Macaca mulatta: one gene and its partners. The protein of the gene in region 2 interacts with the protein of the main gene of each other region in a pairwise test. Links are inferred from orthologs where the notes say so. Each region holds a gene or a part of one and is shown on either strand. Other genes may lie near its edges. The genes, in order: CNST, PPP1CC and CSRNP2.

The links.
Region 1: the proteins of PPP1CC (region 2) and CNST interact in a two-hybrid assay, tested with the Homo sapiens proteins (2 studies listed by BioGRID and IntAct). The link is inferred for Macaca mulatta from reciprocal best matches to the Homo sapiens genes PPP1CC and CNST.
Region 3: the proteins of PPP1CC (region 2) and CSRNP2 interact in binary tests that used the Homo sapiens proteins (3 or more experiments, as listed by UniProt). The link is inferred for Macaca mulatta from reciprocal best matches to the Homo sapiens genes PPP1CC and CSRNP2.

What each region holds. Positions count from the first base shown.
Region 1 is NC_133406.1:2,415,612-2,419,261, forward strand, and holds part of CNST (consortin), read right to left. Parts: intron 631-3,650; coding exon 1-630. UniProt on the Homo sapiens protein: Required for targeting of connexins to the plasma membrane.
Region 2 is NC_133416.1:117,908,530-117,912,179, forward strand, and holds part of PPP1CC (serine/threonine-protein phosphatase PP1-gamma catalytic subunit), read right to left. Parts: intron 3,238-3,650; coding exon 3,007-3,237; intron 1-3,006. UniProt on the Homo sapiens protein: Protein phosphatase that associates with over 200 regulatory proteins to form highly specific holoenzymes which dephosphorylate hundreds of biological targets.
Region 3 is NC_133416.1:58,276,855-58,280,604, forward strand, and holds the start of CSRNP2 (cysteine/serine-rich nuclear protein 2), read right to left. Parts: upstream 2,583-3,750; 5' UTR 2,324-2,582; exon of another isoform or gene 2,214-2,323; intron 1,642-2,213; exon of another isoform or gene 1,506-1,641; intron 1-1,505. UniProt on the Homo sapiens protein: Binds to the consensus sequence 5'-AGAGTG-3' and has transcriptional activator activity. May play a role in apoptosis.

The DNA of each region.
Region 1 (3,650 bases), on a different chromosome or scaffold from region 2:
GCAGTGTGCCTAGGTCAGATATTTGATTATTTCCACAGAGCACATTCTCAGAGCCGTGTGAGTCAGCCAGTGCCTGTGGTGATTTTCCATCACTGTCGGTAAGATCAGGCTGCTGCAGCTCATTTAATTCATTGTTCGCAAGTTGGTCTGTGGGCAACGCCTCAGAAGCATCCCGAAGTGGCAAACGGAGTTCTTTTCTCTGAGCCTGTGAATATTTACCCTCAGAAATCAATGCAGGAGGTATACGGTCACAGCCTGGTAAAATCAATGTCTCCGTCGCTGACTCGCTGGAAGGCAACACTTTAGGGTCTTCAGCAATGCCCTCTATTCTGGCCACATCCTGGCAGGCCTCCGTCTGAGCCAGCTGCAAGCCACTGTCATCCTCACAAGCATCCTCAGAAGAGTCTGGCCCAGACGGGCTCCCTGCTGTCTCGGAGGACTGGGTGTGGAGCGGTAACGTGGCTTCAGTGCGGCAGAGCAGCTCCTCCGTGTGGTCCTTTCCTGCAGTTACCGAAAGGCTTGGGGCATCCGCCTGCTGGTCCATCTGACCACAGCAGGGACTGCTCCCCACGGGCTCCTCTTTACGTTGGCTGTCTTTATCTGGCTCTGTGCCAAGACAAGTTTTACTCTCTAAAGATGAAGAAAAATAAATTGTTAAAAATTCAAAAACCACTTTGTATGGGAAGGAAAAGAAGGGACTTATGAATATGTGTAATACAACAATATTCTAACCCTTTCAAATGGAAATTCTATCTGTTGCATTATAGTGTCTTTAGGTATAGGAAATACCTAAAATATTTAGTAAATAATCCTTATACAGAACAGGGATTATTCAAAAGCATGTGAATATGACTAAATCATTTAGTCCTCATTATAATCAAAAAAGTCATTTTCAAAGGTTTAAAAGCTATTCTGAACTTTATTAGCCTTTTACATTAAAATGAAGTTAGAAAAATTATTTTCAGCACATTTAAGACATGGTGTATTGGGCCGGGTGCTGTGGTTCACGCCTGTAATCCCAGCACTTTGGGAGGCTGAGGTGGGCGGATCACCTGAGGTCGGGAGTTTGAAACCAGACTGACCAACATGGAGAAACCCCGTCTCTACTAAAAATACAAAATTAGCTGGGCGTGGCGGCATATGCCTGTAATCCCAGCTACTCAGGAGGCTGAGGCAGGAAAATTGCTTGAACCCGGGAGGCGGAGGTTGCGGTGAGCCGAGATCGCGCCATTGCACTCCAGCCTGGGCAACAAGAGCAAAACTGTCTTAAAAAACAACCAAACAAAGAAAAGTAGTATTGGTCTGGTTTACTAAGATAAAAGGAACAAAACTCAGTTCTGTTAAAATTTACAATTTGACCATAATACCACTAATAAATGTGTTTGCAAATTACTTGCAACTTTTGTTTGTTTGTTTGTTTGAGACAGAGTCTCACTCTCCCAGGCTGGAGTGCAGTGATGCGATCTCGGCTCACTGCAAGCTCCGCCTCCCGGGTTCACGCCATTCTCCTGCCTCAGCCTCCCCAGTAGCTGGGACCACAGGTGCCCGCCACTACGCCTGGCTAATTTTTGGTATTTTTAGTAGAGATGGGGTTTCACCGTGTTGGCCAGGATGGTTTCAACCTCCTGACCTCCTGATCCACCCGCCTCGGCCTCCCAAAGTGCTGGGATTACAGGCCTGAGCCACCGCGCCCGGCCTACTTGCAACTTCTTAAAGGGAGGTAGCAAAGGGTAGCAATAAAAAGGATACGTTTTTGCAACAAGTAGAAATGGGTTTGAATTTTGACATCTCTTTCAATTTCTACTTTAAGTAAAACCAACTTATTTTTCTTTCACTTTAAAATGAAACAGTTAAAAGCCTCCGTGTGAATAATGAAGGAGCAGTGCACGGATGGCTAGAAAACAGAGAAGCTTGCTCATTCTCGCTTTATTGGTACACTTAGCATTCGTAACTATTTTAGAAGTTTTATCCTTTTTATACTAATATGCTGTTTAACTTAAATAAATGAGCCAAATGTGAAAATAAAAGAGAAAACATGATGATAATTTTATTCCATTTGTTTTTTTATTTACTGATACTTTTTCTTTTTTTTTTTTCTTTCCTTTTCACCCTGGACTCCAAAAACATATTGATACTTTACTACTAATTACCAACTGACAATTGAGGCCCACACCATGTCAAGCAAAAGGCATTCCTGAAACGTCGGCTTCAGATTTCAGAGCATCTGGTGCTGAGGCTGCCACCTCAACTCCGGGTTGCTGAGAGGCAGCTATTCAGTAGAGTTCATAGCACCTCCCCTGACACCCTGACTCAAATTATCAGATGCGGATCAGCAGAAGGAAGAAGTGGTCACCTTTGGGAGAACACAGCCTTCCTTCTCTCTCCCCACCCCAAAGAATCACTCTAAGTTTGTGAGGCTGCAAGAAAACCCAGGCACATTTCACTTTCCTTTGGTTGTCTGCTTTGCCACTGGGCTTGCTGGTCTGCCCCTCCCTCTGTTAAATGGGGGAAGGTTAGAGCAGTGAGGGCCACAGCCAAGGGGAAAGGGGGCCAAGCCGCTCCTCCACGATTCCAGGTACCCAAAGGTTCAGAAGATGTCCCTCGAAACATGTCCACAGGATTCAGAGACTAAATGAGACTGGGAACCACAGTCCCACAGGCACTGTGAAAGCACAGGGCAGAGAGAACCCCCACATCAGAGGAATGGGGTGCGTTGCTTCCAGCTGAGGGTCAGTTACCTAAAGGCTGCAAATATCTAGGGGAGCAGCTTGGGGGTAACCTCCTCCGTAGCTGCTCCTGCTGGAGCCACCACACGACCTGGGTTCAGTCATAAACACCAATCCAGTGAACTCCAACCAGGAGCAGACTGTGTTCCCAGCCCTGGCAACTGGAGGGCGGAGAAGAGCTTTGAGTACAATGAGATTTAAGTGTGAAAATCAAGTTCAGGATTGAATAGGGCTAAGCTCTAAATAATCAAAATGAGACTATTTAATAGCTTATTAGTAAGTGACTGAAAAGGTACAGAATCAGTCTGAGGTGCCATTTTATGAGTTGGAGGTGAGGTGGTGGACGGCCGCTATGTCACGAAGTACAACCGCTTAAAGTATCGTATCTAATGAACTGAGATATCACTTAAGTGATAAGCAATAAAGACAATCTATGGGTACAATGTATTATTTACAAAATAACCTGAAAATGGTTGCTTCATCCCATTATTTAGAAATACTACAGAAAATATGGGGAAAAAAACTCCACCATAATTTTGGAAAAGCCAAGATTTCCAAACTACATTCGGAGAGTCACCCACATTGTCAACATTTCTCTTTAAAACATTGTTTGGTGAAACTTGGGCAACATTTCTTTCCCGAGAATTCAGTCCATACTCCCTCACAGGGTTATTCCTGGGACATCTGGATTGTTGAAGCCTTTGATAAGCCATACAATGCACTTAGCAGAAGCAGGCTGCATTCAATTAGAAATGGGAAGACCCGGCCAGGCGTGGTGGCTCACGCCTGTAATCCCAGCACTTTGGGAGGCTGAGGTGGGTGGATCATGAGGTCAGGAGATCGAGACCATCCTGGCTAGCACGGTGAAACCCCATCTCTACTAAAAATACAAAAAATTAGCCGGGCGTGGTGGCGGCGCCTGTA
Region 2 (3,650 bases):
GACCTCAAGTGATCCACCCACCTTGGCCTCCCAAAGTACTGGGATTACAGGCATGAGCTACCATGCCCGGCCTTTGATTCTTTAGTTATGCCACAAACTCCAGTTTCTTCTCTTGCCGATTTCTGCTGGCCTCTCCATGAAAAATCAGTTTGCTTCCTCCTTTTGCCTCTCAGCACTTGAAGCGTGGGGCTGTCTCTTTCTCTTCTCTCTTCATATCCTCCCTAAGGCCACCTCAAACCACTAGGAACATCTGGGTCCTAAAAGGTTTAACCAGGGAAATCGTCTAGCTTCCAAATCCTAAGATTCTGAGCCATAACCTGTAATGCAGTTTCCCATTACTGTACATCAGACAGCTCCGATAGCAGAAATGGATCAACAAACACTCCTGTTTTACCCAACAACATATACCTCAGCCTTTTCATCACATTTGCAAAATTTAAACAAACAAACAAAAAAGAAATGGTAGTATAAAGTACTTATGTACCTGGAAAACAGGCAGTGGTTTTAAAATTGTCCCATGAAAATCAACATTTGAATACAACTTTTCATTTTAATAAAATTAATATATATAATATATATACTAAATGTCTGCAAGCCTTCAACCAGAAGCCACCTATGTCAAGGGCACTTTTATGCCCACAAGTAGACTGGATGGCAAATTGTATCTGCCTGATGGGAGAGAGGATGCTTGATCTATAAACTGTGTTGATGATCAAACAGGAGTCGAAACTGATACCAACCGACACTGATCTTCTAAGTCATTTTAAAGGCCTCTGCATTGAGTAGAAACTGAAACTGATGCAGCTAGTATCATTACGTTAGGATAGAAGTCACAACAATGAGGTCAAATGGATTTGAATTCATCAGTGCAAACATGAAAAGTATTTACTGGGCTAACAGTTATGTAAAAGGAACCCTTTCTTAACTCAAGAGTAACACTTGGAATAAGTATCCAAAACACAATGTTGCCTGGGTGTGGTGGCCCATGCCTGTAATGCCAGCACTTAGGGAGGCTGAGGTGAAAGGATTGCTTGAGCCCAGAAATTACAGGTTGTAGTAAGCTATGATCCTACCTCTGCACTCCAGCTTAAGGCTCTGTCTCAAAAACAAAAAACAACAACAAAAAAAACCCACCACATCTGCCTTGTATTTCACTACCTAAGGAGTAGTAACTGGCTTACTGGTACTTCTATGACACAGAATCCCTGTTAATATCGAATATCTTTCCTGTACAGGTTCAATGGTATCAGTCAGTCCAGAACCCACAGAATTTTTGTCCCTGATCATTCCTGCCACCTCATCTTACCAGCTGGATCTCAAGGACACAGACCAAGCAAACATCCAGTAGTGGGAAAGGGTGGTAGTAGAAGGGCTCAGTCTGTGAATATAATCTTTCTAGGATGCACTTCTAACAAATGTGCTAGCTCACTGCATCTATGTGAATTGAGATGGAAAAACACACATCTGGAGACTCTAAGTTAGGATGTGGTCTAGGGGAGGGCCACAGGGACAACACTTTGCTGATCTCCCTATAATCATATTAGCAAATGCCAACTACCTGAAGTTCCTTAACCACCCCTTCACTCCAAACCTGAAACCCCTCCTGGCAGAAATAAGCACAAAAGGAAGGTGAAGGTAAAGATTCAAAACCTTTTCTGACGTAAAACCCTTTATCAAACTGATTATTTTCAAAGTTTTTTTTTTTGATACGGAGTCTCACTCTGCCACCCAGGCTGGAGTACAGTGGTGTGATCTCGACTCACTGAACCCGACTCCCGGGTTCAAGCGATTCTCCTGCCTCAGTCTCCCAAGTAGCTGGGACTACAGGCATCTGACACCACGCCTGGCTAATTTTTGTATTTTTAGTAGAGACAGGGTTTCGTCATGTTGGCCAGGATGGTCTCGATCTCTTGACCTCATGATCCACCTGCCGTGGCCTCCCAAAGTGTTGGGATTACAGGCGTGAGCCACTGCGCCCAGCCTATTTGACTGTGTTTTGTCAATAGTCAAATCAAAGTGCACCTTTAAATAAACAATCCAAAATGAGTCATAAAATGCGTAAAATACTGTAAAAATAATCTTTGTTCAGCACATTTTAGTTTTAGGAAAGTTATTGCCATTCTTCCTGGGTGCGGTTATGCCAGAGGAGAAAAACCATAATAATTTCAAAAACTAATTATTTACACATTGCCAAGATTCTATTTGCATGCAATGTTCTCTAGCAGACAAAAAGTAGATTAGTGGTTGCCTGGGGGCTACGGTGAGATGGTCGCGTTAACTATAAATTTACTACAAATCACTGAATTGTATACTTTCAACAGATTAATTTTATGGAATGAAATTACATAATAAAGTTGCTTAAAACTATTTAGAATGGTTCTCAGATTTCTACCAAGAATTAAGTTATCTGTGAATACAACAATTTACATCTTAAAGAAACCACTACCATGATCATTATTTCCTAATCTGATCATCACATCATAAAAGAATCCAAGACCTTATTTTATTATAGCGGCAGTGTTCTTTTTCTACCCAAGAGAGAAAAAACTGGCTGGGCGCCATGGCTCACACGAGTAATCCCAGGACTTTTGAGTGGCCTAGGTGGGCAGATTCCTTGAGTCCACGAGTTTCAGATCAGCTTGGGCAACAAGGTGAAACCCCATCTCTTCAAAAAAATACATGAATTAGCTGAGCGTGGTGATGCATGTCTGCAGTCCTAGCTACCTGGGAGGCTGAGGCAGGAGGATCGCTTGAGCCTGGGAGGCAGAGGTTGCAATGAGGTTAAGATGGTGCTACTGCACTCCAGCCTGGGCTGTTAACAGAGTGAGACTCTGTTCCCCCACCTCCCCTAAAAAGCTAAGTTAAAAACAAGTTGATGAAATAGAAAACATGAGAGATGATACCACTGCATCTAAACTCTCACAATTCCTAACAGAAGTACGTGATAATTGTTTATGATAAATATCTTAATTTCAATAACTTCCTGAGATATAGAAAAGTACTTACATTCATCATAAAATCCATAAATTCTGTTGATGCTGGCACATTCATGGTTCCCTCTGAGAAGAAAAAAATTCTCAGGATATTTGATTTTGTAGGCCAGTAAGAGGCAGATCGTCTCCAATGACTGCTTTCCCCTGTCCACATAGTCCCCAAGAAACAGGTAGTTGCTTTCTGGCGGGAAACCACCGTACTCAAAAAGTCGCAGCAAATCATAGTATTGCCCATGGATGTCACCTAGAAGCAAGAATTTTGTTACACAGTGTTCCCATACTTACAGCTCAATCCACTAACAAAGCTTTAGAAAGAAATTCTTTAAAAATTCATTGTACAATGGCATTGACCTCTAGTAATGAGAGTTTAATTGGACAGCCAACACTAAGTAATTTCCAAACTGGCATCATATTTAGTTCAATTGAACTTAATAAAATTTTTAAGTATATGTGTATGTCCAGAACCTCACACAAAATTCAACTAATTAAGAATTTATTCTGTGGAAAGGGTTATTATGTCCAGGCATGCCTTCTTGCCAAGTAACATGGTATTCCTTTCAGGATGACTGATCAATATCAGATCCCTGATAGCTCAGTCTCTAGGTACTGTGTCAGCAGAACTGCTGCACTTTTAGCGAGCCTTGGCCCAGTCTGAGC
Region 3 (3,750 bases), about 60 Mb from region 2:
TTCTTTGCAATAGTAACAGAATAGTTTCCATACTTTCCAATTCATCAAATTAATCTTTCAAGCTACAACCAGAAAAATCAGTCATTCCTACCTCTCTCAATTATTCATTGGTAGAGGATCAATGCCTGTGTTCAAGAGATACATTTGTTAAGTTTTAGCACCTGGGAATGCAGGTAAAAACTGACAGTTAACTGTCAAAATGACCAACTCAACAAATGCTTTTGGAGAAAATAACGCAACCCTCTTTAAAGCTTTTAAATGCCAGTGAAATGAAAGGTCAGTTGACACTTTCTGGCTACATGTCTAATGGTCTTTTCTCAAGGGTTTCTTTTTTTTTTTTTTTTTTTTTTTTTTGAGACGGAGTCTCGCTCTGTCGCCCAGGCTGGAGTGCAGTGGCTAGATCTCAGCTCACTGCAAGCTCCACCTCCCGGGTTCACGCCATTCTTCTGCCTCAGCCTCCCAAGTAGCTGGGACTACAGGTGCCCGCCACCTTGCCCGGCTAGTTTTTTGTACTTTTTTTTTAGTAGAGACGGGGTTTCACCGTATTAACCAGGATGGTCTCGATCTCCTGACCTCGTGATCCGCCCGTCTCGGCCTCCCAAAGTGCTGGGATTACAGGCTTGAGCCACCGCGCCCGGCCTTCTCAAGGGTTTCTAGCTGAAGATTTCCCAATGGTATACGAAATAGTTAAGATCCAGAGCATAGAAGACATCAGGCTAGCACCTAATAAAGAGGTCTACCAGCATATATGTATTTTAGTACTAGATCTAAGTTTTTTTCAGGACTATAAGGATTCCTATAACCACCAAAACAAACAAATAAAATTTAAAAAAAAAAAAAAAAAAAAAAGCATATGAGAGACCAGCAAGAAGGACTGCCCAGGCAAAATTTTCTGGAATAATCTATTTGCAAAGTTTAGGTAATATGTGTCTTCTTAAATGAGTCCAAAGTAATAAGCTGCATCTCACAGGAGAAAGCGTCTTCACTTGACTGGAACCCAACCTTCTGCGAAAGGTCAAGGAATCACAATCTCCAGTAAGATGGTCAGGGCTACCATCTGTAGCTGGGTTGGAAGAAGGAAGGCTTGCTGCTGTGTTATGATAAACCTGAATAAAATAACCTGCCCTGTTTCTCCTTTTACAAGATACTGTAGTTTCTCAAATACTATGGATTTCATGGATCCATGTGTCTTTGTGATCACCAGGATCATGAACTTATAAAGCGCTCAAATGAAAACCCCTGGCTTAAGCCTGGTGTTTAAAGAAAGCCGTGCACTCACCACCCCCACTCCCTGATTTGTACCCATTCGCTAATACAAGGTTAGAATTTTCCATGCCTAAACTACCATCGTGTGGAAGACAGATCTTTGTGGGAATTGGAACATGATGCTGCATTAACTCTCAAGGATATCCAGTCATTTATAACACCGGCACAACCAACATCCTGGCTTTGCGGATTTGCAAGACAGAAAGCCAGTGAAGAAAACATCTGAACTATGGATTTACCTTGAACTGAAAACTGCAGGACAAGGGGACAGTGTTGTCTTGTGGGGATAACTTCTAGCATTTCATTTTGAAGAACAGTTTGTGTGTCACACTGTCACTCTCAACCCCTTTAAAAGGATGAATCAAGACCACAGCCCTAAAAGGGAAGGGTGGCAGTTGGCTGCGTGTTTGGGCCTATGAAAAAAGATCAAGCTAGCAACCAGGGCCACTGATGCTTTCATTTTCCCACACGACGCCAAAAACACGGGAGACATCAGGAACAGGAGCGAAGGGATATGTCAAGTCACCAGTTCCCTTTAATGAACACTCCTTCCGAACCCTTCAGCCCTCGGTCGACTTCCCTCTGATTCCTCCTAACCTTCCCGCTCATTCCAATCCTCTGCAGCCCCTACCCAGCCTTCCTCATCCCTTCCTGCCTGCTACTCACAAATTCCCAACCACTCCTCCCACATTTTCCTCTGTTCCCCCTCCCCTTCCTTCACTTTCCTCCATCCCACATCATTCTCCACTCCATTCCGAACTCAATCCTCATCCGCAATCCTGCAGGCTTCCAAGCCGCCCATCGGTCTCCCGCGAGCTGCCCCCGCAGTCCGGGCCCGCGTCCTCCGTGCCCCTCGCTCCCACGCCTCTTCCCGACTCGGTTCCTTCCCAACGGCACCCGACCTCCCCGCCCCCCGACCGCTCCCGTCCGAGCCTCTCGTTTCTGACCCCTCCATCCGCACGGCTCTGGGCTTGACCACTCCTCCACGGCCGCCCGAGGGCCGATCCCGAGAAAGGACGAGGCGGCACCCTCCGCCCCGCACCCCTAGGCCCATTACCGGCCCCGCCGCAGCTGCCTCCTCCCGTGATGGTCTCTGCCGCCCCCGCTGCCGCCGCCGCCCTAGCCCGGGTGGGAAGGAGGGAGGAGCGAGCGAGTCCCGGGCCCCGCGGCGACGGCCGGGGAGCTTCCAGGGCGGCAGGGCGGGGAGGGAGGGCGGTGGGCAGCCCAGCCGGCAGGCAGAGAGGGCCGGGCGGCTCCGGCAACTCGGGCGCCCCCGGCAGCAGACGCCCAGAACCGCCCCGGCTCCGGCTAACAATAGGCTCCGGCCGCAGAGCACTGGCTCTTATAGGCGCCGGCACGTCCTGACCGAGACCCGGGGCTGGCTGGGAAATGGAGTCTACGTGCCGGCTCCACACCCAGCAGCATGCCGGGAGTTGTAGGCGGTGACTGCTGCAAAGCCGAAGCCGGCGGGCAAACTGGCTCCGGAGGCGGCAGCTCTGCTGCAACCTTTTAATCGGGGAAGAGAGGAGACTCTCAGTTACTGATCTTAAAAAACGAATTCTCCTCCAAAGCTCCCTTTTCCTTTCGCCAGTACCACACGCCATTAGGAACATGATCCCGCCTTCTCCTCGCTCATGGGGTCTTAGTCTTCAGCAATATGACTTATTGCAGCCTGCCCAAGTTATAAAGAATCAAGCAATATCTTGAGTTATCTACTTACATGAGAAACTGCTTTGAGTGTTTTCTTAAAAAAAAAAAAAAAAAAAAAAAATTGCTGCAGGGCGCGGTGCCTCGCGCCTGTAATCCCAGCACTTTGGGAGGCAGAGGCAGGCGGATCACGAGGTCAGAAGATCAAAACCATCCTGGCCAACACGGTGAAACCCCGTCTCTACTAAAAAATACAAAAATTAGCCGGACGTGGTGGCGGGCGCCTGTAGTCCCAGCTACTCGGGAGGCTGAGGCAGGAGACTGGCGTGAATCCGACATCGCGCCACTGCACTCCAAACTGGGCCAAAGAGCAAAGACTCCCTCTCAAAAACAAACAAACAAAAAATTGCCATGATCTCAAGTTTGCAAACTAACTTATTTATTTAAATAGACAAGGGGTTTTCGCCATGTTGCCCAGGCTGGTCTTGCACTCCTGGGCCCAAGCGATCCGCCCGCCTCGGCTTCCCTAAGTGCTGGGATGATACGCATGAGCCACCCTGCCCTTCCGCAACCTATTTTTAAGAAAGGGCACCGGACGCGGTGGCCCATGCCTGTAATCCCAGCACTTTGGGAGGCCAAGGCAGGCGGGTCATGAGGTCAGGAGTTCGAGACCAGCCTGACCAACATGGTGAAACCCCGTCTCTACTAAAAATACAAAAATTAGCCGAGGGTGGTGGCAAGTGCCTTTAATCCCAGCTACTCGAGAGGCCGAGCCAGGAGAATAGCTTGAACCCGGGAGGCGGAGGTTGCATTGAGCCGAGACTGCGCCATTGCCCT